Linked DNA regions of Daphnia pulex. The protein of the gene in region 3 binds, or shares a complex with, the protein of the main gene of each other region. Links are inferred from orthologs where the notes say so. Each region holds a gene or a part of one and is shown on either strand. Other genes may lie near its edges.

Region 1 (2,877 bases), on a different chromosome or scaffold from region 3:
ACCAAAGGAATTTGCTTCATTCGTACATCTCGCCCCAACACAGCCGTCATCTACGAGAACGAACAAGTTTTCTCTGCTGGAAAGGGTCACGTTGTTCGTAGTCACGATCAAGACGATTTGGTTATCGTTGGCGCCGGCGTTACACTCCACGAAGCGCTGAAGGCGTCCGACATGCTGATGGAAGCCGGCATCAAGGCTGCTGTCATCGATCCATTTACCATCAAACCCATTGATCACGATTTGCTGTTGAAGGAAGCCACTCGTTGCAACGGCCGGGTTTTGACCGTTGAAGACCATTACCCAGAAGGTGGATTGGGTGAGGCTGTTGCTTCAACTCTAGCCGAACAACGAAATATTATCGTCAAGATTTTGGCAGTTCGCGAAGTTCCCCGCTCCGGTCCTCCAGAGGTTCTCCTAGAACATTTTGGAATCGGCGCCAAGGCTATTGCCGAAGCCGCGAAAAAACTTGTTGCGTTGTAAACGCCCTTTTTTTAAGTCACTCATTCCTATACCCATTCCTTACCAGAGGTCTATGGATAGTTGAGAAGAATTGGTGGTGTTTTTTGAAACATTCTTCTATGGCATTCCAAGTCGTATATGTACCGTTTGGATAGTTTATTCATACATAGCTTTTTTGGTGTTTCAAATGATTTTTATTTGTTAGCATTATTATTCAAAAATAGAAAAAAGGGATGCATACAAAATGAACAATTATTAGGATGCTTCATCATCGTTAAGAAGTTGCTGTAATCCTTGGATAGTTGAAATGAGTAAGTGAAATTGTTTGCGTCTTTGTTCTAATTTGGCCTCCAGTTTTTGACATTCACATTCTGAAGCTTCCAGTTCCTGTCGCAATAGGGATAATTTCTCTTGGTTGCTCTTTCGATCAGGCTGTGTTTGAATAATGGCAGCCAAAGCATCATATTCCATTTTATTCCTGCGAATCTGTCTTGCTTCTTGCAACTCCTTCTTGGTTGCTTCAATGTCTTTTTTAGCTGACACAATTCCTTCTTCAATCTGGTTGTAGAGGTCGTCATAGTGCTGCTGTTCTGCAGTGTTCATTTCACAGCACCTCAAGGATTTTGTGGCAGCAAATTCACATTGGGCAATCTGACCAATCATTCTAGCGTAGGATGCTTGTCTGTAAAACAAATAAAAATACATCACATATAGAGTATAGAAGAATTTTATACAAAGATTAATTTACGTTTCTTCAACACTATCTGTAGAGTTGCACCAAGCTAGGAAACCTTTAAGCAATACATTAAGTCTTCTTTCATCACCAGTTCCTTCGCCATCAAACAACAGCCTCCTTCGGATGATCTCTTCTACATAACGAAGTACAAGATGAAAATTAACCGAAATAATATTACTAACAAGTCAAATTACCATCTCCCATTTGTGAATAATGATTGGGATCAAAATAAGACCAATAATAATACAATTTAACTGGTAAAGCTTTGAGAATATTGAGATGTCAAACCGGGCGAAAGAATGAGATGACAAACCTAGGAGAAATGTCGCTGCGGAAACGCCGGAAAGTACTGAAAAATGAAAAAATATTTTCGTCTGCCGTAAGCGTAGTTCGCTCGTCTTTTGTTTTGTTTTTTAAATCCGCCAGCAGACGACACGCCCCTCAAATGAAAGGAAGGAGACATGGCTTTTTAAAAAATCATCCGATTGATTAGGTATCTATTTTGTTTAGGGTTAAACTTGCATGCCTGTATAAACATTAGCAAAACCGAAAGAGAGCTAGTCCAGCAGATCAGCAATATACTTGGGAAACCATTGAACGGTTTAGAATCAATCAGGTGATGTCAAGGAAAGAATCCAATGAAATGCTGGATCTGGAGTGTTGTTTTTCTCGTTTCCAGATTAACGTCAATCTCTTCTTTTTAATTAAACTGTTGCCTTACATTCTAGGAAAACCTGTTTTTATTGTCCTGAAAATTGAGATTGGTGATCAAGATTGACAGATTCATTTTAAACAGGTGTGTAACTGACAGTGAAAAAATAATTTTGGGTGCAAGATACTTACAAACAACATTTATTTGTAAGTATAAAAGGTGCATGTCAATTAATGGTTGTATTTGTCAAGATGTCAGATGGTTGATTGGTTGGTAATATAAAATAACTGAGTTGAGAGAGATTTGGTACCTCAATGGGGAATTTTCACATATGTGTTTATCAGTTGATGTCATTATGATTATGTGCAGCTTGTTCTCATAGTCATACTTGTTGCAGTCCATGTGTGAAAATTGTAAAAAGATACTTAGCGCAAAGAAAAATGTACTTTTTGAGTTCCGCAATGCATAAAATCTTTTGCCAAAATTAAAAAAAAAATAGACGGACGATTGAGGATTTAAATTATTGCTAGAACGTTTCGCTAGAAGATAATTTCATCATTAAATCATCATAAAATTTCATAAATTGCCAACGAATAGAATCAACAACTTTAGTACGCTTACACATTAAGGTCTTCAAGTGGCAAAGAAACGCAACGCATTTTTTAATTCTAGGAAAAATATACAAGTACTATATTAAAGGTAATTTTGAAATAGTCCAATGGGTGTTAATGCCATAGAGTAATTAGAGGAGGCAAGGCATCAAGGGCAGTGGTAGCTGCCGAGCTGCTTTCACTATAGTTGCAACGCTGTTGCAGGTGAGGAAAGAAGACGGAGTCTCGGAGAGGAGAAATTAAGAAAAAATTTTCTGTTAACAAAGATGGCGTCCAACGATGACAGTCCAACAAGTCTTCATGGCCAGCCTTGGTCTGTTTGGGCTGATAGATTAGGCAGAGATAGTCCATTAAGTGAGTAAATTGCCTTATAAGTTGTCTTTTCTTGATAGCTAACGGATATTTTGTGAAAATTGTTT
Region 2 (3,941 bases), on a different chromosome or scaffold from region 3:
ATCATATTATTTGAATAAGCCAACTACAAAACCAGTAATATATCAAGATTATCCAGGGATTTCCAGACAAATGAATGTGAAAAATTACCTGACACCTAACAAACTCGTCTGTATTTCTTCTGGATCAACTATTTCAAAATCTTTGTTTAACAGCAAAACCCGTGCAAAAGTTATGAGTCTCGATAACAAAATTCAAAATACCTCAAAATATTAAAAAAAAATATATATATATATTCCCAAATGAGAACCTAAATCCCTGACTTTTCCCTGTATTGCAGAATGGGAACCGTGATATTCATCTGATTTTACTCTACCTGCATGTCCTTGGCCAGTTTGCGAACGTGCGTTTCCAAGTAATCTGGCAGCCGAGTGATAGGAGTATTACCATGAGTGAAGAAATGTAAACTTCGTCTAGCCAAAAGCCGCAAAGCACGCCACCCAAAATTAGCCTCACTAACTCGCCTGGAAACACGAAAATCGCTCATTCAGTTAAAACATTTTCGGAAAAATGTAAGCTTTAAAGTGCAAATTTTTACTTGTACTGGCTTTCCACTGAAGGATCCAGTTGCTCAATGGCTTCCTCAAAATAGTTTTCTAATGTAGGTAGAAAATCTCGATCTTTAGATCGACAGGCAGCCATGTTATCAGGACATAGATTCCACAAACGATTCATCTCAGCGCTAAAGAGAAAAAGCTGTAATTCAATGTTTTCAAATAATTTCATAATTTACCTACTTTCCAATAATGCACTTATTTCTTTTTGAAGCTTCTCGAATCTGATCTCCAAGACTTCTTTTGAGCCGTCTTGGTCGGCCAACTACGATCGTCTTTTTTTCTCCATTGGTACCATCTTTTATAGTATCATTATCAGTGGTTGAGCTGGTTATGCTGGGCCGGAATTCCGGGCAGCCATCGTTCTTCCAGTTGCTCCATAATTCTTCCCGCTACATCCAACAAACACCGATGGATGATATTTTTTAAAACTACTTTTATACAACTCAGTATACCTTTAGTATGTGTCGAATAGATTGGACGAAAGAAGCGCCATCTGGAGGTGTATCTTTCAATAACCGATAGACTTGATCGATAGCCTCGGAAACCCACGTAGTTTGTTCTTCGTTGAGCTTGTGAGTTTCGCTATAAATAGAAGCAATTCAAGCGGTTGAAATAGTCTAACTAATGAAACTTATTGAAACTAACTGTTTAAACTTGACAGGTGAATCCAGATATTGGAACATAATCAGAAACTGCAGCAGAATGTAACGTCTGAAGTTGGAGTCACCGAGCTGAAGTTCGAGAAGATTTTGACTCGTCAAATATTTGGCGAAATATTGTTGGACATTTCCACCATTCATGCTGGTTTCATTCATATCGATGTTTAATGCCACATCTGCCTCATCCCATTTAGAGCGGTTTCTCCGCTCATCCAGTTTGATAGTAGAAAATGCAGACAAAACATCACTAGTATGCTAAAGAATAATTGTTTTTCTGTTAGATGGAAAATTTTAACTTGAAATACTTGATGTTTTAGCTACCAAACAAAACGTTTTCCACGGGATTTTCGTATAGCACTGATTAGGGTTTCGAAAGAAATCTTGTAGGGACCAAAATTTTTTGTACAGATTGTAGTCGGAGCTCAAACTACAAAACAAGAAAATTTAGAAAAATATTGCAATAACTTGTCAATCAAATATATATACCTTTCTTCTACTTCCATTGCATCCTTGTGCTTTTCAGAATTAGCAGATATATCAGCAGCGTAGCTTTCATCTTTAGCTCCAAATGTCGTCAAATTATCCAAATTAAATTCGCTTACTACGTTAAGTCCGGATCGTTCAGAGAATGGGAAAAATTTTGCAAGAAATAGAAGAATTCGACCACAGAAAACCGTGTTCTGGCTTCGGGACAAGCGCCTCAGCAGATCTGAAAAAAAATATACATATAAAATTCATTTCAGCAACACAACTCACATAAAGCGAAACACTGTAAATGAATTTAGCAGAGTGGTATACATTGAAATAAGAGTAATGGATTGAATTCATATCAATACAGAATTAGATGCATCCAGTTACATAAATATTTGTGTCATACATTATTAGAATTTTGGAAAAATGTCTTTACATACCATTGCAAAGGCGAAGTAAGGTATTTTTACACTGATTGAAGAAAAGCTCTTGTTTCCAAATCGCTACTTTCATTTCAACCATGTAGAAAATTTCCTCACATTTTTCCAGAGACAGGATGTCAAAAGCATCTGTGAGCAAAATCACAGGCAGTGTTGGAGAACATACTAGAGCTACTGCACAATCCAGACTCAACTGCAACAACTTTTCAAACAATGGTATGGAAAAGTTTGAGGAATCACTCAAAAATCTGTCTCTAAACGCCTGATCCCATACAGCTTTTTTATCAGCTTCCCTACAATAAATATGTTTAATTACAATAATATGTAAATACTTTCTGCTTTGATTAAATTTACCCAAGATGAGCTGTATTGTTAACTGAAAGTAATTCACTGATAGTGGGTGGACCACCCAGTTTAAGAGCTTCAGAAATGGAATCCTACAGAAACCAAACACAGAAGACATAAGATTTTTCAATTTATTTCAAATATGGCTCATTGATAGATTTTTTTACTGTACCAGAAACGAACACCGAGTTTTCTCAAAATCAAATATTTCCATTTCAGTGGTTTTTTTACAAAGTAAGAAACATAAAAATAGTCGTGTTTTCGAAACGATCAGACGACGCTTCAAAACTTGGTTGCGTTGCCAAGTTTGTAAATTGCAATGTTGCCATTCTAAAATCAACTTGATTTTTTTTTCCGAATCCCGGAAAGCGGAAATTCTGGAAAGAAGTAAATGTCAAACCATTCAAGTTTAACTAATAAGTAATCGGTGATAATCAAATAATTTATCTGTTCAAAGAATATGTTTTGACTGAGATTACCGTTTTGACGTTTTCATACAAAAATGTTACTCGATTATCATCCCCTAGATGGCGAGTCGACGGATCAATAAAAATGGTGTTCTACAAAAGAGAGTCCTTTTTTGAAAAATCATCTAACGCGGGACTGCACCGAGTTTAATAAAGATAAAATTCCCATATAAAAACTACCTAATTTTAAGACATTTCTCATGTTTAATGTAATCGACAATAAGTAGCCTTTTTGAACTCAATATTTTCAATAGCATTCCAATGCTACTCATTTCACTACTAAACAATATTTAAGCGCATTCAAATACTCGAATGTTTTCAACTTCCATTCGTATTACTTTTATCATTTGATTTCCTATGAAAATCGGCAGGTATTGCCTGCCATATTACAACTACAGTATCGACTGCACTATCTACCGAGATTTCATAACCTTGTTCTAGTCTCTATATTTGAACTACCTCTGTTTGCTTACGAGCTCTGATTTTATGTCTACTTCCTGAAGTGCACCAGGAAAAGGCATAGAGGATTAGAGATATCGATTCTTTACTGCAGGGAACCGCCGTTTGTGGCACTTTTTAAAATCCTATTTCGCCTTTGATCATCTCAAATAAGAATAAATTAAAAGGAAATTATTAGTAGCATTATAAAACACCAGATAAAAGATATAAAATTTTACTTATTTCAAACCAATTTATCTGTGTCATTTGGACTGCAGGACGTCATCAACGAAAGATGACGCGGCACGTAAGCTGAAGCAAGAAACGCGAATCCTTAGGCCTTATTCTATTGTAATTAAACATGTAGATGGCGATCGCTTTGAGAGCCTTTAATGAGAAGAAGTTGTTTTCTCTGTTCAAATCGTCCCTGTGAACGAATAGAAGAAGGATGATTGCCAAAAACTTTGTCGATTTGTTTTTTATTTGCTGGCTACAATAACTCTTTGTCAAGCCTTTAATGTAATTATCTTGGGTTATTTACTCTCTGCATTGGCTAGTAACAATTG
Region 3 (4,210 bases):
AGTGTGTGAGGGCTGTGCGGGTCTATTAGGTTGCGGACTATAAGAAGGTACTGGTGGTCTGGCAATCGGATAACCAATCGGTGCCTTTGGTTGGTTGTAGCCCTTGAAGTGTAGACCGGGAGGTGGGCGAGGCGTTGCAAAAGTAGGAAAATAGAGTCGAGGTTCAACCCGTGATGTGCCGTACGTGTTGGACCATCTTCTCTTTAATCGTATCTGGTTTGTTGGATCCAAGGTAGATGTTGAATTTGAATAATTCTGTTGCCCTTGGAAAATGATAAAAATTTGTTTTATTTTATTGCGTCAGCATCGTTTGTGGGTTTAAATTGGGAAAATTCATTCTTACTGCTCGATTGGTTTTCGGAATCGCTGTTTTTCGGATCGACAAAGGCAGCAGCTGATGTCGAAAATAAAATTGCGGCGACGATGAGAAGAGAATTAAGAGGAGACCACTTGGCGGTTCGACACCGCATCTTGAAATCAAACGGGTCACAGAAAATCACCTCCAGTTATAAAGGTTTGCTTGTTGACAGCCATGGCTTCTGGATGTTCGGTTAAATCACCGTTGTTGACACCTTCTTTGGCCTACATTTTTATATCAATTAAATAAAAAAGGAAAGAGGAATTTTGGAAATACTATACATGTAAGGCGTCAAAGATGTCATCAAGGATGTGACGTATTTGCCAGTCATTGCTCTTTGTTTAAAAAAATGGAATATGTGTGTTACATATTTTAAATGTTCTTTTTATTTTTGACGATTCTTATTGTTTGATTTAAGTCCATGTGAATTCGCCCTATCTTATCCTATTTTATGTCTTTTCTACCGTTTCCCCGTTGTAAATGGTGTCACGACACCGGCAACCCAACAGATTCACGCCCTTCCTGTAGATTTCGTCTCTTAGGAAAGCGTGAATCCGTACCTCTTGTACTTATGTACTTTTTCTTTAATGATTTCTATTCTTTCGAGTTATTTATCATAATTATTTGGATATCGATAAAATTTTTTAAATTGAAAAAAAGGCCAAAATTATTGTTAGTTTTGTCGGAGTTATTATAAAAATAAATCGTTGTTACTCTCCGCATTAAAGTCTGTCTTATAATTGAAGATGCCGTTTCTCATTTAGAAGAATTTCTAGAGAAGGACGGGGAGAAAGAGAAAGTCCCAGTATATACGTATACCCATCTGCACGCACAGCTATATAAGCCGAAACGGCAGGAACGAATTTGTACAAATAGTCCTACTCAACCGGAAGCCAATACGGATCTTTACTAAAACCAAGAAATATTTTTATCGCTCACGTGTTGCTCCGCTAGCAGTCACTACCTGCTGGGTCTGTCATCCTTTTACCTGCGACGCTACATCCATTTGGTCCACCTCCAGTTTATCATTGCTAGAAGTAACAGCTTGAAATGTTTGTTCCTAGATGGCGTTAGCAGCAGCCTCTTTTTCCTCTTCCCCCTATAAAACTAAAATCGAAATATCTTCTTTACTGTAACGTTTAAATAATAAGAATATTTTGTGTAATTCGATTCGCCTTTGAAAACTTCATTAAACCGTATGGCTTAAAAATTGTTCTGACAAATAACCCCCCGACAAGCTTACAGGAATAGGAAAAGATCCCGTCTTTAATTAGAGTACTCCGTGCTAAAGTGGTCGGTAGGCTACTCAGTAGACTCCAGCAAGGCTCTAAGCTTGAGTCCATGTTTATGTTGTCACATATGCCACCAAAGAGTCGCTTCCCCGTTTGTTTGGTATTTGTTCGTTGTCGTTTGAATTCGCTTCTGCAATTTTGAATGGCCTAAGGACTTCTAAAGACAGATACTGCGACGTGTGAAGTGGAAATCACCGAATTCGTCAGTTGTTGCTTAATCGAGGGACACAAATGGCGTCGTTAATTTCGCAAGAAGTATGGAAAACGTGGGAATCACATGGACACGTTGAATTGTAAGACTCAACAATTGTTTTATATCACTGACACTACATTCTTTGACTTCAACAATAGTAATAATATGACATAACTAATTTACTCTTTTTATCTGGTAATCTTTTAGTGTGAAACTGCTGGAAAGCTGGATTGGCACCGATAACAATAGTCAACATATTCCTTCAATTGGGAGTAAAGGTTTGTTGTTATTACATTACATTTCCAAGTATTTTATTTATCTTATGTTTTACTGTTTTTAGATTTGTTTCGTGCTATATATGAGTTCTTGTGGCAAGCCATCAAAGGTGGAATAAAAAGAGAACTAGTTTTATCAACCATTGGAGATATTCTGGTATAGATTTTGATCTTAACACTTTTTATTTGTGATTTTGTCAATTAAATATTTGTAAGTAGGTTTTGCATGGTGATCTAGCATCGTTGACACTAGATGTTCTCAATGTTATTGACCATGAAACGTTGGTTAATGAGAATAATGATGAACGTCAAAAGTTGTGCAGCATGCTAAAAGAACTGGAAAACTGGCTAAGTGATTCAATGATTAAGGAACGCTTAGAGATTGACACATTACAAGATTGCAGTTTACTGAAGACAAAGAAGATATTTTACTCCCGTTTCATCAAAGTAAAGACAAAATTATTTTACAAGCAGCAGAAGTTTAATCTTTTACGGGAGGAGAATGAAGGCTATGCAAAACTAATAACTGAACTCAATCAAGAGATTGATGACACCATCACTCCACTCTACATTTTACAAGTAAACATTTGATTAATATTATTCTCTGACCATGTACCAATATTCCCCTCACTTACACAGGTTGTACAGTCTTTAATTGGTTGCTTCAACTTGGATCCGAATCGGGTGTTAGATGTGATTATGGAATCATTTGAATGTCGGCCGCAGCTTCACAGTCGTCTTTTTGTTCCACTGATTCGCTCGTACATGTCAGATTCGTTGACTTTGTGTGAAGTCTTAGGGTTCAAGTTTACTTCATTCGACCCGTCTTCTACACCAAACTCTCTTTTCGTCATCACTGCTCTTTTATTGCAGCATGGAGTCATTCATCTTGAAGATATTTATCGTTGGCTTACGCCTAAAGATAGCGAAATCGACGAATCCGCCGCTAAAGAATTAGCAGACGCAAAAGAGTATGCTCGTCGAATGAATATCATCGCTGTTCCAAAAGAAGACGACAAAATTGAAGAATTGATTGAAGAAAGGGCACCTTATAATCAGAAATTTGGACTGTGTGAAGCTCTTCTTTCAGTGGGAGCTTGGGAACAAGCGTCTACTCTTCTTAAACGTCACCCAGAGTTTTTCGTCACATCTTATCGACCCATCTCGAGCAGTATCTGCAAACTGGTCGACTACGTAATTGAACCGGTGTATCGCACTCGATGCTGCATATCTCCAAAACTTTCGGGCAAACCAGTTTTATCTGTCGGTGTATGGAACTTCCCCAAGACAGCCAAGGAAATGAAGGAGTTGAGAGAAACTGCTTTCCCCATGCTACTCTCTTTGGGACCCCATTTGTATAACGATCCTGTCCTCCTGCACAAGTTAATCCGTTTGTGCAATACTGCGTTAGATGATTGTGGCTTGAACAGTTCAAAGAAATTTCCGCAAGACCTGGATTCGCTGTACTTTGACGTTCTTACACTGTTTGATGTTGTAATATTGCCATCACTCGCCCTCATGGAATCGAATTGCTGTGTAGCAGAAGAAATCTGGAATGTTTTGAAGAAATTGCCTTATGAGCACCGTTATCGTCTGTATGGCCTGTGGAAGAACGACACGTTTCAGAGCCATTCTTTGCTGATCCGCCGCAAAGTAGACTGCGTTAAACGCATCAAGTACATCATGAAGCGTGTGAGCAAGGATAACGTCAAGCCCACGGGTCGAGTGCTTGGCAAGCTTAGTCACAGCTGCCCTGGCTTTCTTTTTGACTACATTTTGTCCCAAATTCAAATCTACGACAACCTGATTGGCCCTGTTGTGGATTCACTCAAGTACCTCACAAACCTATCGTATGATGTTCTTGGTTATTGCGTTTTGGAAGCACTTTCGAACCCAGACAAGGAGCGCACCAACCATGATGGAACTACCATCTCTATGTGGCTGACGGCTCTTTCCGCCTTTTGTGGAGCCATTTACAAGAAATACAACATAGATTTGACTGGACTTCTCCAATACGTTGCCAATCAACTAAAGGCGCAAAAGAGCCTAGATCTTCTTATTCTTCAGGTACTTATATTGATTTAATATAATA
Region 4 (3,400 bases), on a different chromosome or scaffold from region 3:
CTTAAAAAAACAAAAAACAAAACAAAAAAAACTGGAATATCTATTTTGTCTAGTTCTCATCAGTTCAAACGTAAACGTCTCGAAAGATCTATTTTGAAAATACGTGTCTTTTTTTTCTCCTCTGTTTTGTTTCGTTATTATTAATTGCCAAAAAGAAATAGGCCGCCACGCGCGCCTCTCTGATTTGATATATTCGTGTATGTATTTTCAAGTGCTTGTATACCAATCGCTTACAAGTTGATGAATGATGATCGCTGTAGTGTTGCGTGTAACGTGTATTTATCGGGGAAAAAACAAAAACAATTCCCGATAAGCTAAAAAGAGAAAATTTGACGCCATTTCAGAATGGGCTTAAAAATTGGGTCCCAAGAATAGTGAAAAAACATAAGAAAATCATTGGGCATCACTGTATATCCTTTATTACAACAGTATCCCGGGACCAGACAAATCGACTACCGTCGTGCCGTTTAACCCCCCCCCCCCAATCCCTTATTGGAAACGTGTAAAACCATAATTGTCCTCAGCAGTAAATGATATATATAGTTAAGTTGTGCGTGCCTTGAAAAAAGAAAAACAGAAATCGATTGCCTCGCACAAGTTGGATATTGCCACAGCAATTGGTGTTCTCCTTTTACCCACCTTTTACTCCTTGCCGGAATATAGCCACGTTTCTGCGAATTGGTTGTTTGTTTTTGTTTTTTTGTTTTTTTTTGTTAAAAAAGAAAGAAAAAGACGCGAAAAGACCATTGTTTTTTTCTTCCTTTGAGATGTGTCGCTCGCTACGTAAACATTGCCTACTGTCCGAAGCTGAGCGTCGTCGTGAAAGTGCTTTTTGCGCGCACGTATTTTCATGTCAAAGCGAAATACACGGCTTGAGCATTTGTCTCATTCATTATATAACTATTGCAGCTTGAACTGTTTGCTTGTCTTAAAACACGTTACTTTTTGTCACTTTCTTGTTCTTTGAGCGGGAAAAGAATCAAAAATTCAAAATTCACTACGATGTTACGATGAAATTTAAAATCATTGATTTACAATACACACACTAGTTAGTTAAGCCAATCAGTTTTACTTGGTTTATCACAAGATATTTTATGAAGTTTTTATCAAGCTCTTTAAATTAAAAAAAAAAAATTACTTTGACAATGAGTTTGATCATTTGCGATTACAGAAATAACGTAGTTGCAATGTTTTATGCGTAGCCTTTTTGTCCGAGAAACCCATCGCTTAAAATTAATTTCTCACTATTTTTTTTCAAAATCCTACCAGAGTTATCCTACGTGGCTGATTACTTTTTCGAGGGTTTTCTTTCTCATTGTTGGCTAGTAACACACTAACATGGCAACATGACTCGGACAAACTTTTTGCATTGACGATAGGTGACACTACTTTAGTACAGGATGCGCCCGATAGAGATCACTAGTTTAGAAGCCAGCAAAAGCATACGCAATTTCTCCTCTGAAACAATACACTGGCATTCAAAAGTCGAATTACTTTCAAGTTACCGCGTTGCGCGTTCCAATTGTAATTCATTGAAAGTTTGAGACGCCGGTACAGACAAACGTCATCATTATCATCACAATCATGGACATCTCTAAATTAAAAGTAACCCGCTTAACTTTATATTTGAGTGAAACTTGTCAATATTTCCAACTTAGAATCCTGATTGAGTTTGTCAAATCAAATGTCTATTATGTTTTTGAACTAGTGATAGGCCTACTGTGTGCATTTCATCTTGACTGTTGTTTTCATGCTAGGTTGTGGACCTTAAAAAAGAGTTAAAAACACGAGGCCTCAGCACCATTGGCACTAAAAATGAATTGATGGAAAGACTGCAAGATGCTGTGCAAGGTAAACTTTTATCATTTTGATTATTAAACTGTTTCCATGTTTATGTTCAAGCTTTTTTCCGTGGATGTTAAGATGACGATACTGGAGATAATGGCGCCTTAGACAATGATGACCTTTTGGATGAGGAGGCAGTTTTAGCAGTAAGAACATTGGTTTTATACAATGTGATAAACTTATGCAATTTTATTTTTGGTATAGGATGAAGAAGCTATTTTAGAGGAAGGAAATGCAAATTTGATCGCCCAAGAAGATGATGCAGTTCTTTTAACACCTACTGCATTGAGTGCCCCCAAAGTTACAGTTGAAAAGTTAGTTACTCTGTTTGTTTGGAAAATAATTGCCTCAAGATTAATGATGAAATGAATAATATTTCAGGACTGTTCAGGACTCGAAGAATGAAATAGTTTCTCCCCATAAAAAAATCATCTTGAACAGAAAGGTGGTAACTCCTCCATCAGATTCTGGCACAGTTTCACAGGAAAATGACGACCACCTTAAATATGATGCCAATAAAGGTGATGAATCTGACTCAAAGGAAGAAAAGAAGGTGATTAAACTTGGTTCCTTATCTGCCGAAGAAAGAGCCAAACTAAGAGCACAGAAATTTGGTGTTCCTATTCCCGATTCTGTGAAGAAAGCTGTTCGAGCAGAAAGATTTGGCGGTACAAATAGCACAGAATCAAACACATCAAAACCTCAGGTATTTTCGATTGATCAGCTCATCGTTCTTCGTGTTTTCATGTAGTGAATTTTTATTTAAGGTTCCTGATAATGACAAACTTCTGAAAAGGCAAGCTCGCTTTGGCGTCGTTTCTAATTCTAATTCCGAAGTTGATGAGAAGAAACAGAAGCGAGCAGAGAGATTCGGAACTACGAGCACTGCGGTCGGCAGTTCTGACGAACAGAAGCGCAAACGTGCTGAACGTTTCGGACTTGCCTGAAATGTTCGTTTTAAAGTTTATTAATTGACGTACAGTTAAATGAAACAAAGACTTGGTTCGATCACAAAATTTTTAGTTTTTTAAAATTAAATGTGACCTGATTTCTTATCCCGATAAAAAAAAAAATACTAATTTGGTGTATACTTGAAACACATTTTCTCATGGGTCCGAGTTAGGTTGGTCGGCGGAGTTGTTTTGTTTCTAGTTTGTAATTGAAATAACCTGATATGTTGGTGCGCAATTTCACTTGATTTTATAAAGAAAAGAGCAGCATGAAACAAAGAGATGAAATTTAGTGAGGGAGTTCTAGGCTAGTGGCAAGTCGAAGGGAGTAGCGGTTTAGGTTAATGTAGAAAATTCAAGTTGGAAGGGAAATAATCGTGCAAAGGTAATAAGCAACCCGCCACTAATAAAGTGTGGGTTCAAAACCCTCACTATGTAGTGTAGGACGCTTTTTTAGAAATCTGGAAAGAGACAGCATGGTCCTATACCATGAGGGACAGGAACAGTAAGTAAGTCCCCTGTACTACAAAAGCATATTACAACTCAAATGCTGCAATAATAGGCTATAATATTTTTTTCTCTACGCGATTTTACTAGATATTCGG
Region 5 (3,648 bases), on a different chromosome or scaffold from region 3:
AAATAAACGAATGTTAAAACAACACTTAAACTCGATAAAAAATTTCAAGTCAAGCATATAACAAACAAGAAAGCCGTCAGCCAACGCCATTGAATGAGTGAAACTGGTGAAACAAATAAAAAGTACAGCGACTCGCACGCTCTTCATCTTACATAACCTGTTCCAAGAACAACTGAATTACCTGCTAGCTGTTTTTTAAGAAGTAATGCTGACTGCAATTCGGACATAATGAAATCAAAACGTAAATTTGTTGAGAGGAACTTGAGAAGTCTTCTCTCAAGTTGAGAAGTCTTTCCAAGCACGTTGCTTGCTTCGTCCTAGCCTTTGACGTTGCCAAATCTCCTTCCTTCCTCTAGAGCTCGCGCGTTGTTGGCCAATCAATTTAATCACGGCCAGGTCACGGACCAATCTCCGTCAATGCCGTCAATGCATGTTTTATAAATTTTAATTTTTTTTAAATTGCACTCCTAAAATAAACATTGATTCAATAAACCCAGAAATAAATTATCACGATGTATTTTCTTGTGAACATTACTCGATATAAAACATCACAATTTGACATTATTAATCTAAAGACATGGCAGATGTCTTTGTTTTTTTTTGTATAATAATTGATGGAAGGGCAAGCGAGATGAAAATGTTCAAATGACGATACATAATTCATGAAAGACAACGAATCACTTGATCTTGTAGTTTAGAACTGGTGCAAATGTCAATGTCTCCACCGGATCCGCCGACGAATAGCAACTAATATAACAATCCAAAGATTATATTTGTTTTTCATTTCATTATCATAATATTTTTTTACTTTATTTGCATCCTTTTTCTGGAGGCAAATACTGTAGACTCTAAGGGGACTTGTAGGCATTTTGACGGTAATATCTCCCGAAAATAAGCTAAAAATAATTGACCCAGCTCACACATTAGTGTCAAGGGGGAAATTTAAATTTTTAAAAATTACCATTGGTATACAAACGGTCCATCTACGCCGACGATTATATTGTCTTCGTGAAACATAACGTTGTTAACACCATGGACGTCTTCTTCGAGTAATACTCTACTCATTGTCAAAGATCGTAAATGATAAAGTCCTAAGTGCGGGCCTCCTCCACACACCTATGATATGCGACAAATAACAACTGTAGTGATTTCTCATCGATTAGATTACTTCCTTAAACAAGACTTACCAACCAATCTTCATTCATAGCAACAGCACCAACCCATTTTCCCAGATGGGGTCGATTCAGTTTAGACTCCAAATGTGGTGTAATTACGTGATTAGGTTTTGATTTTCGAGTATCCCAGATGCATACTGTTCCGTCTTCACTTGCACTTGATAGCTGATTCCCACTATCACACAATAAAAAGTAATTAATGTTTTTATGCAATAACTTGAATTGTAACTACATCTACATACACCAGGGACATTGAGTGAATGAAATCAGTATGACCAGAGAAGGTTTGTTTAACTTTCCCATATTCAAGATCTACATGATGAATATTGTTGTCTCCACAAGCAACAAAAGTTGAGTTTTCACCGTTAATCATGCAATCTACAGTTTCTTTAGTGCCAAAGTCACTATAAAATTACATAAAACCAACAGTTAATTATGATAAATGTAATAATCAGAATATTCTAATATGGTTACGTTGGCAAGCGAAGATCAACTTTCCAGCAAGGTTTCACCTTCTCATCACTATTCTGTGGAAGCACCAATTGATTCCAGCTAAATGCCTCAATACAGTTCTTGCCTCCAACGAGTAAGTTATCATTTAAAGATGTTATAGCTTGCAAAGGTTTGGTACTGACAGAAAAGCATTTCTGTGGTAATGTGAGGCTTTCACGTGGACCCTGTTCATCTTCGGCATACAAACTTTTGATACTAGGAAGAGATACATGTTAATAAAATTTTTTTTTTCAGTAATATTATTTTAAGAATAAATTCAATACTTAAATATGTTGACATTCCCAAAATTGGTTCCAGCAGCTAGAAATTCCTCACAAGGAGATAGGGCTTGAGAGAGGACAGTCACGTAAAACGATTTTATGTTAGGCATATTTTCGCACTTTAATCACTGCTTTAACAGTTTAGTTATTCGTGAAGTCGGAGAATTTGTAACTCAGTAAATTTAACTTTTAATTTGAAAATCAAAACAAGAATATACACCGGCAAAGTTTGATTTTTGTGGCGCTCTGGGTCTCCATGCGGAAGCGTCTGCTACGATATCTACTAATTTGCGGAAATCCGAGAAAGGTTTTTCAGTTTCAGCCATTACCCGGGAAATTCAACTGAGAAATAAGCCAAAAACAAATAGAAATGTGAACTACGACTTGGTTTCATTGGTTCGATGAAGATCTAAACCGATTTAAAGCGCTGTTGAATGATGTTTCAAAAATTTTAACTGTAGTTATTTAATGTGGTCAACTTCAGATTTGAAAAGACCAAAATAATAAGATCAAGGACACTCTCAGATATAATGAATATCATCAATGAGTTGTCATACACTGAACGCAACTTACTTATTCCCATTATTCCCTACACGTCACTTCCCTTGGGCCTTGAATCGAAACCGATATCCCTTCAGCTTTTTGTAGTTTAATCTTATTTGCTTAGATTAACTAGATCTGATTTCCCATGAAATCAGCTATTGGAATCAGACATGATACCGTATCTAGACTTGTGTGAAAACACTCCCCCAAATTTGTTATAGACTTGCCTTTTTGATTATTTTCGAGATGTTGACTTTGACACAGAACAACCAGACCAATTTTAAAAAAGTGAAATGTTTCAAATAAAAAAATATATAATAAAATGTGATAGCCAAGATACGTGTTTTGGTCACACCTGAGACGTAGCGGCGCAGCAGTGTGTTAAGTTTTCTTCAGGAAAACCTTGACTGCAGTTTATATCCCCCCGCGGATCGCATAATTTACGAGTTTATAAACTTGTGGAGTGATTACTGAATAACCTGTAATAATTCAGGCCGCCGTGAATACATAAGGCTGTTATTAACGGGATAAGCCGCCGGGAGCAAAATACAGCGCTAGGGCAACAGCACGTAGTGCATTCAGTAAACATCAGAGGGCCTGCAAGAAGAAATACCAGGAAAGGAAACCTGCTTTCCTCTCTGATAATAATATTGCTAGAATCCAAAAAATCTAATGGCCTTAGCCTACATTCGTTCGCTTGCCTTCTTGATGTGTGAACCACCCAACAGATCGGTCGCATCGCACTGCTATTCTCGTTCAGACTGGGCACTTATAAAGCGAAATCACAGTGGAACAACACGAACTGACGTAGTGGAACTATTAGGTCGAGTTAAAACCCAACAAACAGCCAACACCATGTTTTGACAATTGAAAGTGTCAAAACGATCAAAAAGTTTAACTCTTAACTCGAAAAGTTCCAGTTGAGCCGCGCAATCTAACATACGGATCTCGGGACTTTCTTTCTTTCTACTATTCCGAGAGGAAAATTTCTCTTTTCTCTCGGTCATGGACCTTACACAACTAAGCCCAGAGAAACGAAACTTATTCGACCAGGTATTTAAAATCGTCTTTTTTAATTGTAATAATAGACGAAGGTTAAATTTTCGCCAGTATTGAAATTTCGCCACGCTGAACGCGGATAGTGTATTAATCAAAGA
Region 6 (3,405 bases), on a different chromosome or scaffold from region 3:
ATGTATCGATAAATATAGGATTTCAGAAACAACTCGATTGGATTCAGTCGTCTTTATTGACGGCCTGTGCAGCACGTTTGGGCATTTACTCCGACCACGAATTCCGTCATCCAATTACCTGTTTGAGCTTGAAATTGAATACGCCATGCCCGATAGTCCCTTGGACGGAAGCGGAAGCCTCCGCATTGAGTTCGAAACCCTTTCGCTTTTTTCTGCGTCAACTGGGTCTTTTCCCTTCGCTTCCTAACGCTGGCACCTATCCAAGGATCCCACTCGAATGGTCACCAGACACTCTGTACAATGTTGCTCTTTCGTTGGGTTCCGTTGCCCATCAGCAAGTTGATTTCGACTTGAGTTGTGTAGGAAAATTGTAGCTTATCCATTTAATTTAGCTTCGATCGGTCCCGCTTGATTACTGCTGGCCAATCATTAGAGTAATTTGTTGTAATTTTGTCTATGATCAGCGACGATTAAATGAAGGAACAAAAATCAAATTAGTGTTGAGGTTAATCATTTGTATTTTTTGGGATGAGTTTCTCTTTCTCGTTTCACAGGCACACCTTTTCACACTCAAGTCCTCGGATGAAATATGAATGAATTATAAAAAGATACATGTGCTAAGTGCGCCGTAACAGGAGGGAAAAGCAAGAAACACACGGCAAAAAGGGACTCCAAAAACTGGGGGAAAGTACAAGAACCATTTAATCAAGTGCTAGAATGAAATCAAGACAAGGTTGTCCAAAATCTCTTTTTTCTGTCTAGACTCTTCACAACAGTCCAACCATTTTCTCAAAGACAAATTCTGAATTGGATTCACTTTTAACTTTAAGGACTAAAACATTGTTAATAGTCAATCAAGACTTGGCGAAGGGGAGTTATTAGTAAGAAGGTTCTTTCGTTTGAAGTTGGGGAGCAGCACAGGTGAGGTAACGACTGGAGAAAGATTATTGCATATTTAATTCATTTCAACGTCCCCAATTTTAGACATGTAGGATTCAATATCATTGTCTAGAGCGCTACGAGTCTTTTGCATGTACTGATCCAATTGCTTGTCCAAATCTTCTTTGCTGACCTTGGTAGAGCCACCTCGACCACGCCCTCGACCACGTCCGGATGTCTGACCGCGCGGAGATGTCGGCAAGCTGCTTCCTCCACGACTGGGTCCCTTACCACCACGTTGGCCTCGTCCTCTTCCTCTTCCACGCTGGATACGACTTTCAGCTTGCCCGGTAATCAATGAAGATGTCATCTGCCCTCGACCACCTCGTCTTCCTCTCACGCTGCCTCTAGCACGCGAAGGTTTGGTCGGCGAACGATTGGTTGTGGCAGCAACGGGGGCTGGCTTTTTCGATGGAGAAATGATTCTTCCGCGAGTGCTTCTCTTGTTTCCTTGTCCACCGCCACGAACGATTGTTTGGCTGACAATGGGCTTCAGTCCGCCCCGGCCTCGAATTATCTTTGTTGGGGTGACCGTTTGCCCTTGCGTTCGACTTCCTCGCAGAGATCCTCGCGACTGACTCCCGCGACCAGCTCCACGATTGGTTGTGAGTCTCCTTTGAGTTTGGGTGGCCGTTCCGCGAAATCGAGTACTGGTGTTTACTGTGGCTCCAAGGCGTTGTTTGATGCTTTTCTGAATAACAGTATAAATGATGTAAGTATATCTGGTTATGAATTAAAAACGAGGAATTGCACCTTTTTCAGTTTCAAAGCAGCACTGACTGATGCATTTCGTCTTTCCATCTGTTGAGCTAGTCTGCTATTCTTGCTTGATGCCTTTTGAAGATTAGCTGCATTATTTCTAGCCCCTTGCAGTTTTCCAGCCAATTTCTGACCCCCTGCTGAGCTTCGTAATTTGGAGAATCTGTAACGAAAAATTTTCATGCGTTAAAAATCAGCAAATGAGAAGAAAATCAACACATACTTTATAAAAGCAAGGAAATTCAATGTTTAACAGGGGGAAAATTGCGGCAAACAACTATTTCAATCGCATATACGACATAACAAACCCAAATTGCCTAATGATTTATACCTTTCATGTAAGGATAAGGAAGTTGAATTATTTGGTACTCTGCCTCCTGAAGCCATTTTGTGCTAGAATACTGCTGAACCAAAGTTCAATTACGGTCAAGAAAATGCCGAAAACAGATAATTTCGAGCTATCTAGAAATGTTTCTCGTGAAGTCAATGAAAACAATTGCTGATGTTTGCCCGGCTGTGAACTAATGACGCTCAACTTTTTTCGACTGCTATTGGGTAGTAAAGTGACACCTAGCGGAAAAAAGAAAGTATGTCGTGATTTACGATTGAGTAAGAGTGCATGTTTTAAAAAATGTGGGTGGAGGAAATGTTTTATGGGTGTAGAATCATGTCAATAATTAAATATACTAGATAATACAGAAAGTGAAAGAATTGGAAATCTGTATTTATTTGAAATCAATGTATTCATTCTGTAAAACAAAATCAGATGACAAGCAGAAATGAATCTTTGTTTTTTTATCGTATGAGATGGTCAATAGTGTTTTATAAAAAGAAATTAGGCGGCCACTACTGTAGGAGTACTGCTTCCGTTTTCCTCAGCTTTAACTGCCGGAACGGCTTTCTCTGGATTGAATGTTGTCCAGCGAGCTTCATCTAGTGCATCCCACAAATCCTGATTGCGCTCAAAAAGTTCTCTGTTCAGTTTCTCAATATCGACGGGTGTATTGTGTTCTATGAGCTCAAACTCATCTTCTTCAGGTTGAGCAGGCATTTGCCCAGCAACGCCATATCCGGCATAAGCTTGTTGACCATCATAGCCGTATCCGCCTTGGTAACCATATCCTTGCCAGCCACCGTACTGTTGCCAATAGGCTGGATCGACGTACTGTCCGTAGCCAGCTGCTGCAGCAGCAGCTTGAGGTTGAACTGGCTGGCCGCTGGCTGCGGCCTGGACAATTGACGAAGCAATCGATGCAGTTAACGTAGAAGTAGAAGATGTACTGGATGAGGATCCTAAAAGTTAAAAGAGTATGAAATGAAATGTACTCCAAAGAAAAGTTTAAGCGTGCATTTACCAGGTATCATGTTGTAATTACGAGGAATAGCCAATGAAACTCTAAGTGGGTTGCTGCCGAGTCCTCTGTGACCTTGCATATGTGTCAGCGCATCTTTGTAATCACTTTCATTAGAAAAATTAACAAACGCATAGCCGCGACTTTCTCCATTGCTGCCTCTGACCACTAAACATAAAATACGAGAAGTTCAGATAATTGCCAATAAAATCATTACAGAAATTTTACAAATTACCCTTTGCCAATTGAACTGAGTTATATTTTGCAGAAAAACATTTGTAAAGGCCATAGTCATCTACATCAGCACTCAAATCTCCCACCCACAGTGCATGATCGGCTGTAGAACCTTTAGTGT
Region 7 (3,232 bases), on a different chromosome or scaffold from region 3:
CAGACCAGCACGAGTCCAATTTGTCCCAGGGTCAGACATCTAATGAAATTACAACAGTGGAAGAAGTCAACGCCGAAATGAACCTCATACTTCACCCCCGAGCCGGAATTCTACTCCACAGTAATACCTGATTAAATTAAATATAGTTATGAATTAATAGTAACAAAACATTTGTAACGAAAACAGGTTTCCAATTCTCTAAACCAACCAAGTTTAACAGCGAAGCCGCAGCCTTCGCTCAACCATCACGAATTCCTTACCGTGGAAGTTCAATTCCAATCATCGACAGCATCAACGAGGCTGCAGTAGCTCAGCAACTACGTCAAGCAATCCGCCGTACACTTCGCAGCTCATAATAAGCACTTCACAATCTTTATAAACATGACTTTGTTAAAAAAAAAATTTGTAGTTTTTCCAATACACTCAATTTGATACAATTGGACGTTACTAGATCTTTTGGCTTCTACACATCTCGGGAATCACAAATAAAAAAACAATGGTTTTTCGCTGAAAGCTTCATTTTTTTTTGTCTTAAAACCAGGTCTGACAGGTTTGTCTTTCAAAACACTGAATTTGTATGAAAAGAACGAAAGAAAAAACATTATTGAAAAAGTGGTGGTGGTGAGGAGAATAAGTAAAGGTGATCAGGAGTTTGCGTCAGTGATTCAACCTCTGATCCACCACGTGTGGACTCAAAGAAATCAAATAATTTGGTGAACATTACACGATTGCGTTATTTCAATTCACTCCTGTATGACTCCAACTCGGCATCAAGCTCATCTGCTGTCGGTGCAGGCTGTTTGGGATTGCGTTGGCGAGCACCACCAGCACCACCTCGCTGACCACGCTGGCCTCCTCCTCCTCCTCCTCTCTGGCCTCTGTTGGAAGCTGGTGCACCAGTCCTCTTTTGTTGCGGCCCGTTGTTAGTGTTAGCTCGAGGGCTGGTTAGTCGGTTGGCGATTGTGTTCAAATCGGAAGTAGCCATCTGAATGACCATTGATCGACCATCCAATGGGACTCCGTTGTACTGTTTCATTGCCTATGGAAAAGAAACAAATATTGATGCTGTGTGTCCTACAGTTGACAAGTTTCATGAAGTTTACCTTGACGGCATCAAGACGGCGCTCAAACACAACATCAGCTGTACCGAGAGATCTGCCTGATCTGTCATAATGCACAGAAGCATGTTTCAATGGTCCAAATTCCATAAAAAGTTCCTATAAATAGAATTATTCAATACATGTTCATCATGACAGAGAAGCAATATATGTTATACCTTAATGTCTGCATCTGACACACCAAAGTCTAAGTTAGAAACAACAAGCTTGGAAGAGCCGCCTCCAGCAGCATTCGGTGCAGCACCCAACCTGGGATTGCTTTTCCTTGGTCCACCTTCATACATGTCATGAGACCAGTCACCATCTGGGTTGCCCTAAAAATAACATACACAAAGAGTCAGCACTATTGCATCACGAAGACTGTAAGATACAGACTAGCTTGGATTTGAAATAGACGAACAAGTCAACCAAGGATTATGCAATACTTTCTGATAGAACATAAAAAAACAAGAAGAATAACTTAACAAATATTTACCTTGGCGTAAGGTGCAGCACGACCCCCAGCATTTCCCTGTCTTTGATTACGAACGGGTCCTGAGCCGGCATTACGGTTGCCTCCACGAGAACTGCCACCACGACCGCCGCGTCCTCCACGGCCCCGGCCGGCTGAACGGCTAGTTTTGATGATATCATCCAAGCTCATGTCAACTTTGTCGCCCATTTTGATAACAATAAGTTTGTGGAGGACTTGACAAAATTAAGGACTATCAATTTAAAAACGAAACACAAGTTTAAGAAAGATTCAATAAGAACGAAACAAATGGATGATGGTGACAGGGACGGTACGACAATGACGCCACGCTCAATCTCTATGCCAAGTTAACGAATATGAGCCTAAGCAAACTCTCAATGGCGCCCATATTGCCCGTTTGCCAGTTTCAAAAACAAGAAACATAAATAATTTAATACTCCTTTTATTCTAAGTGATTTATTTTTCAAATAATAAATTTAAATTTATTTGATTCAATTTTACAAATAAAAAACAGTTTAGTTTCAAATTAAGTTTTTAACCGACGTGGTTGCCAAGCCCGGTGTTTTGATTCTGCTTTTCAACCCTCTAGATGACAACACGTGTTTAAAGTTAAAAGTTAGTGCCTGTAAATTTTAATTAGGCCCCATAATATCCCGATTATCAAGAAATATCTAATGAATTTGCGATTTGCATTGTTAAATGTTGTAGTTGTTACTGTACGTAGTTTTCATTCTAATCAAAAGGTATTCGGCGATATAAAAAATAAAAATCGTGTGTTAAATTTACTCGCCAACATGCCGAAAGATACGAGTCATGTCGCACGTCTTCAATCAGAAAGACAGGCAAAGAAGATTACTAAAACAAAATACCCACCAGGAACCGTAACATTACAAGTTCTGGGTTCTGGTGTCCGTGGTGCACCACGGTCCCTCTATATGTTCACCGATCAATCATGGTAACATTTTAAATTAAAGCAAAAGTATTTTAGTCTAATTCCTGTTTGCTTTTAGTTATCTCTTCAATTCCGGAGAAGGATCTCAACGCTTGGCCCATGAGCACAAGTTTAAGCTGTCCAAAGTTGAGAACATTTTCTTCACCCGTACATCTTGGCAAAATGTGGGTGGATTACCTGGAATTTCATTAACAATTCAAGATGTTGGTGTTCCCAATATCACACTCCATGGACCACCTGGATTGGTAAACAAATAACATCTAAGCACACATTTTAATGCAGATCCAATAATATCATAATCTAATTTTAATAGGGTGAATTATTTACTGCTGCCTCCAGATTCATCATATTAAAGAATTTACAAGTCAATCATGTGGATGCTACTTCACCTGCATCATCTTATGAAGATGCTGCCATGAAATTAAATTATGTAACTATTATGCCCAATGATGATGCAAAATTACCACGTTCAGCTTCTAGTTCTCCTATCGAAGAGGAGGATGTGACCAATTATTATTGTCGAGAAAAAGGAAATCCTGGTGAGTTATCAGTGGTTACAAATTATTAGAATCGAAATGTAAACAAAATTAATTTTCTTAGAGGACGTTCCAGCTGCTAAAAGGACTCGTGTTGAAGATGAAAGTGACGAGAACCCGAAATCCAAAGCCGTTCTAGCTTATGTATGCCGTT

The links.
Region 1: THO complex subunit 2-like (region 3) and THO complex subunit 7 homolog share a complex: the UniProt entries of both Homo sapiens proteins name them as parts of the transcription/export (TREX) complex. The link is inferred for Daphnia pulex from reciprocal best matches to the Homo sapiens genes THOC2 and THOC7.
Region 2: the proteins of THO complex subunit 2-like (region 3) and THO complex subunit 1-like are in contact, whole or in part, in a cryo-EM structure (PDB 7ZNL), measured with the Homo sapiens proteins. The link is inferred for Daphnia pulex from reciprocal best matches to the Homo sapiens genes THOC2 and THOC1. Residues at the interface, in NP_001075019.1 of Homo sapiens: Leu155, Phe156, Tyr157, Lys158, Gln160, Asn163, Leu164, Leu165, Arg166, Asn169, Glu170, Ala173, Lys174, Ile176, Ala177, Gly180, Gln181, Asn195, Lys197, Ser198, Leu199, Ile200, Gly201, Cys202, Phe203, Asn204, Leu205, Pro207, Asn208, Arg209; in NP_005122.2 of Homo sapiens: Asn134, Arg138, Asn141, Leu144, Arg145, Lys149, Thr153, Cys156, Gly157, Gln160, Leu161, Ala164, Arg165, Phe167, Gln242, Phe245, Arg246, Tyr297, Ala299, Lys300, Phe301, Arg319, His320, Leu323, Gln324, Ile327, Tyr331, Arg373, Phe374, Lys376.
Region 4: THO complex subunit 2-like (region 3) and SAP domain-containing ribonucleoprotein-like share a complex: the UniProt entries of both Homo sapiens proteins name them as parts of the transcription/export (TREX) complex. The link is inferred for Daphnia pulex from reciprocal best matches to the Homo sapiens genes THOC2 and SARNP.
Region 5: THO complex subunit 2-like (region 3) and THO complex subunit 6 homolog share a complex: the UniProt entries of both Homo sapiens proteins name them as parts of the transcription/export (TREX) complex. The link is inferred for Daphnia pulex from reciprocal best matches to the Homo sapiens genes THOC2 and THOC6.
Region 6: THO complex subunit 2-like (region 3) and chromatin target of PRMT1 protein-like share a complex: the UniProt entries of both Homo sapiens proteins name them as parts of the transcription/export (TREX) complex. The link is inferred for Daphnia pulex from reciprocal best matches to the Homo sapiens genes THOC2 and CHTOP.
Region 7: THO complex subunit 2-like (region 3) and THO complex subunit 4-like share a complex: the UniProt entries of both Homo sapiens proteins name them as parts of the transcription/export (TREX) complex. The link is inferred for Daphnia pulex from reciprocal best matches to the Homo sapiens genes THOC2 and ALYREF.

The regions. Positions count from the first base shown.
Region 1 is NC_060023.1:12,053,787-12,056,663, forward strand, and holds THO complex subunit 7 homolog, read right to left. Parts: upstream 1,547-2,877; 5' UTR 1,400-1,546; coding exon 1,390-1,399; intron 1,329-1,389; coding exon 1,208-1,328; intron 1,142-1,207; coding exon 715-1,141; 3' UTR 501-714; downstream 1-500. Other genes in the region: transketolase-like, read left to right, coding at 1-480; ataxin-7-like protein 1, read left to right, coding at 2,725-2,812. UniProt on the Homo sapiens protein: Component of the THO subcomplex of the TREX complex which is thought to couple mRNA transcription, processing and nuclear export, and which specifically associates with spliced mRNA and not with unspliced pre-mRNA.
Region 2 is NC_060026.1:6,262,967-6,266,907, forward strand, and holds the start of THO complex subunit 1-like, read right to left. Parts: upstream 2,801-3,941; 5' UTR 2,685-2,800; coding exon 2,643-2,684; intron 2,563-2,642; coding exon 2,480-2,562; intron 2,419-2,479; coding exon 2,126-2,418; intron 1,924-2,125; coding exon 1,701-1,923; intron 1,642-1,700; coding exon 1,536-1,641; intron 1,470-1,535; coding exon 1,201-1,469; intron 1,138-1,200; coding exon 1,008-1,137; intron 945-1,007; coding exon 736-944; intron 681-735; coding exon 537-680; intron 463-536; coding exon 315-462; intron 1-314. UniProt on the Homo sapiens protein: Component of the THO subcomplex of the TREX complex which is thought to couple mRNA transcription, processing and nuclear export, and which specifically associates with spliced mRNA and not with unspliced pre-mRNA.
Region 3 is NC_060017.1:3,792,197-3,796,406, forward strand, and holds the start of THO complex subunit 2-like, read left to right. Parts: upstream 1-1,410; 5' UTR 1,411-1,881; coding exon 1,882-1,943; intron 1,944-2,050; coding exon 2,051-2,121; intron 2,122-2,183; coding exon 2,184-2,275; intron 2,276-2,337; coding exon 2,338-2,697; intron 2,698-2,757; coding exon 2,758-4,185; intron 4,186-4,210. Other genes in the region: uncharacterized protein LOC124205981, read right to left, coding at 1-263, 344-470. UniProt on the Homo sapiens protein: Component of the THO subcomplex of the TREX complex which is thought to couple mRNA transcription, processing and nuclear export, and which specifically associates with spliced mRNA and not with unspliced pre-mRNA.
Region 4 is NC_060024.1:915,590-918,989, reverse strand, and holds SAP domain-containing ribonucleoprotein-like, read left to right. Parts: upstream 1-1,447; 5' UTR 1,448-1,584; coding exon 1,585-1,605; intron 1,606-1,757; coding exon 1,758-1,851; intron 1,852-1,923; coding exon 1,924-1,991; intron 1,992-2,049; coding exon 2,050-2,159; intron 2,160-2,226; coding exon 2,227-2,551; intron 2,552-2,612; coding exon 2,613-2,792; 3' UTR 2,793-2,900; downstream 2,901-3,400. UniProt on the Homo sapiens protein: Binds both single-stranded and double-stranded DNA with higher affinity for the single-stranded form. Specifically binds to scaffold/matrix attachment region DNA. Also binds single-stranded RNA. Enhances RNA unwinding activity of DDX39A.
Region 5 is NC_060027.1:616,916-620,563, reverse strand, and holds THO complex subunit 6 homolog, read right to left. Parts: upstream 2,435-3,648; 5' UTR 2,059-2,434; coding exon 1,952-2,058; intron 1,884-1,951; coding exon 1,650-1,883; intron 1,580-1,649; coding exon 1,418-1,579; intron 1,351-1,417; coding exon 1,188-1,350; intron 1,117-1,187; coding exon 962-1,116; intron 897-961; coding exon 809-896; intron 748-808; coding exon 661-747; 3' UTR 501-660; downstream 1-500. Other genes in the region: ubiquitin-conjugating enzyme E2 G1-like, read right to left, coding at 182-227; SEC14-like protein 2, read left to right, coding at 3,497-3,544. UniProt on the Homo sapiens protein: Component of the THO subcomplex of the TREX complex which is thought to couple mRNA transcription, processing and nuclear export, and which specifically associates with spliced mRNA and not with unspliced pre-mRNA.
Region 6 is NC_060027.1:3,847,523-3,850,927, forward strand, and holds chromatin target of PRMT1 protein-like, read right to left. Parts: upstream 2,242-3,405; 5' UTR 2,086-2,241; coding exon 2,030-2,085; intron 1,862-2,029; coding exon 1,693-1,861; intron 1,631-1,692; coding exon 956-1,630; 3' UTR 501-955; downstream 1-500. Other genes in the region: protein timeless-like, read left to right, coding at 19-374; tRNA selenocysteine 1-associated protein 1-like, read right to left, coding at 2,534-2,991, 3,054-3,218, 3,286-3,405. UniProt on the Homo sapiens protein: Plays an important role in the ligand-dependent activation of estrogen receptor target genes. May play a role in the silencing of fetal globin genes.
Region 7 is NC_060025.1:2,695,818-2,699,049, forward strand, and holds THO complex subunit 4-like, read right to left. Parts: upstream 1,988-3,232; 5' UTR 1,780-1,987; coding exon 1,594-1,779; intron 1,433-1,593; coding exon 1,277-1,432; intron 1,218-1,276; coding exon 1,104-1,217; intron 1,040-1,103; coding exon 734-1,039; 3' UTR 501-733; downstream 1-500. Other genes in the region: uncharacterized protein LOC124203100, read left to right, coding at 1-120, 187-356; ribonuclease Z, mitochondrial-like, read left to right, coding at 2,265-2,545, 2,601-2,787, 2,856-3,081, 3,143-3,232. UniProt on the Homo sapiens protein: Functions as an mRNA export adapter; component of the transcription/export (TREX) complex which is thought to couple mRNA transcription, processing and nuclear export, and specifically associates with spliced mRNA and not with unspliced pre-mRNA.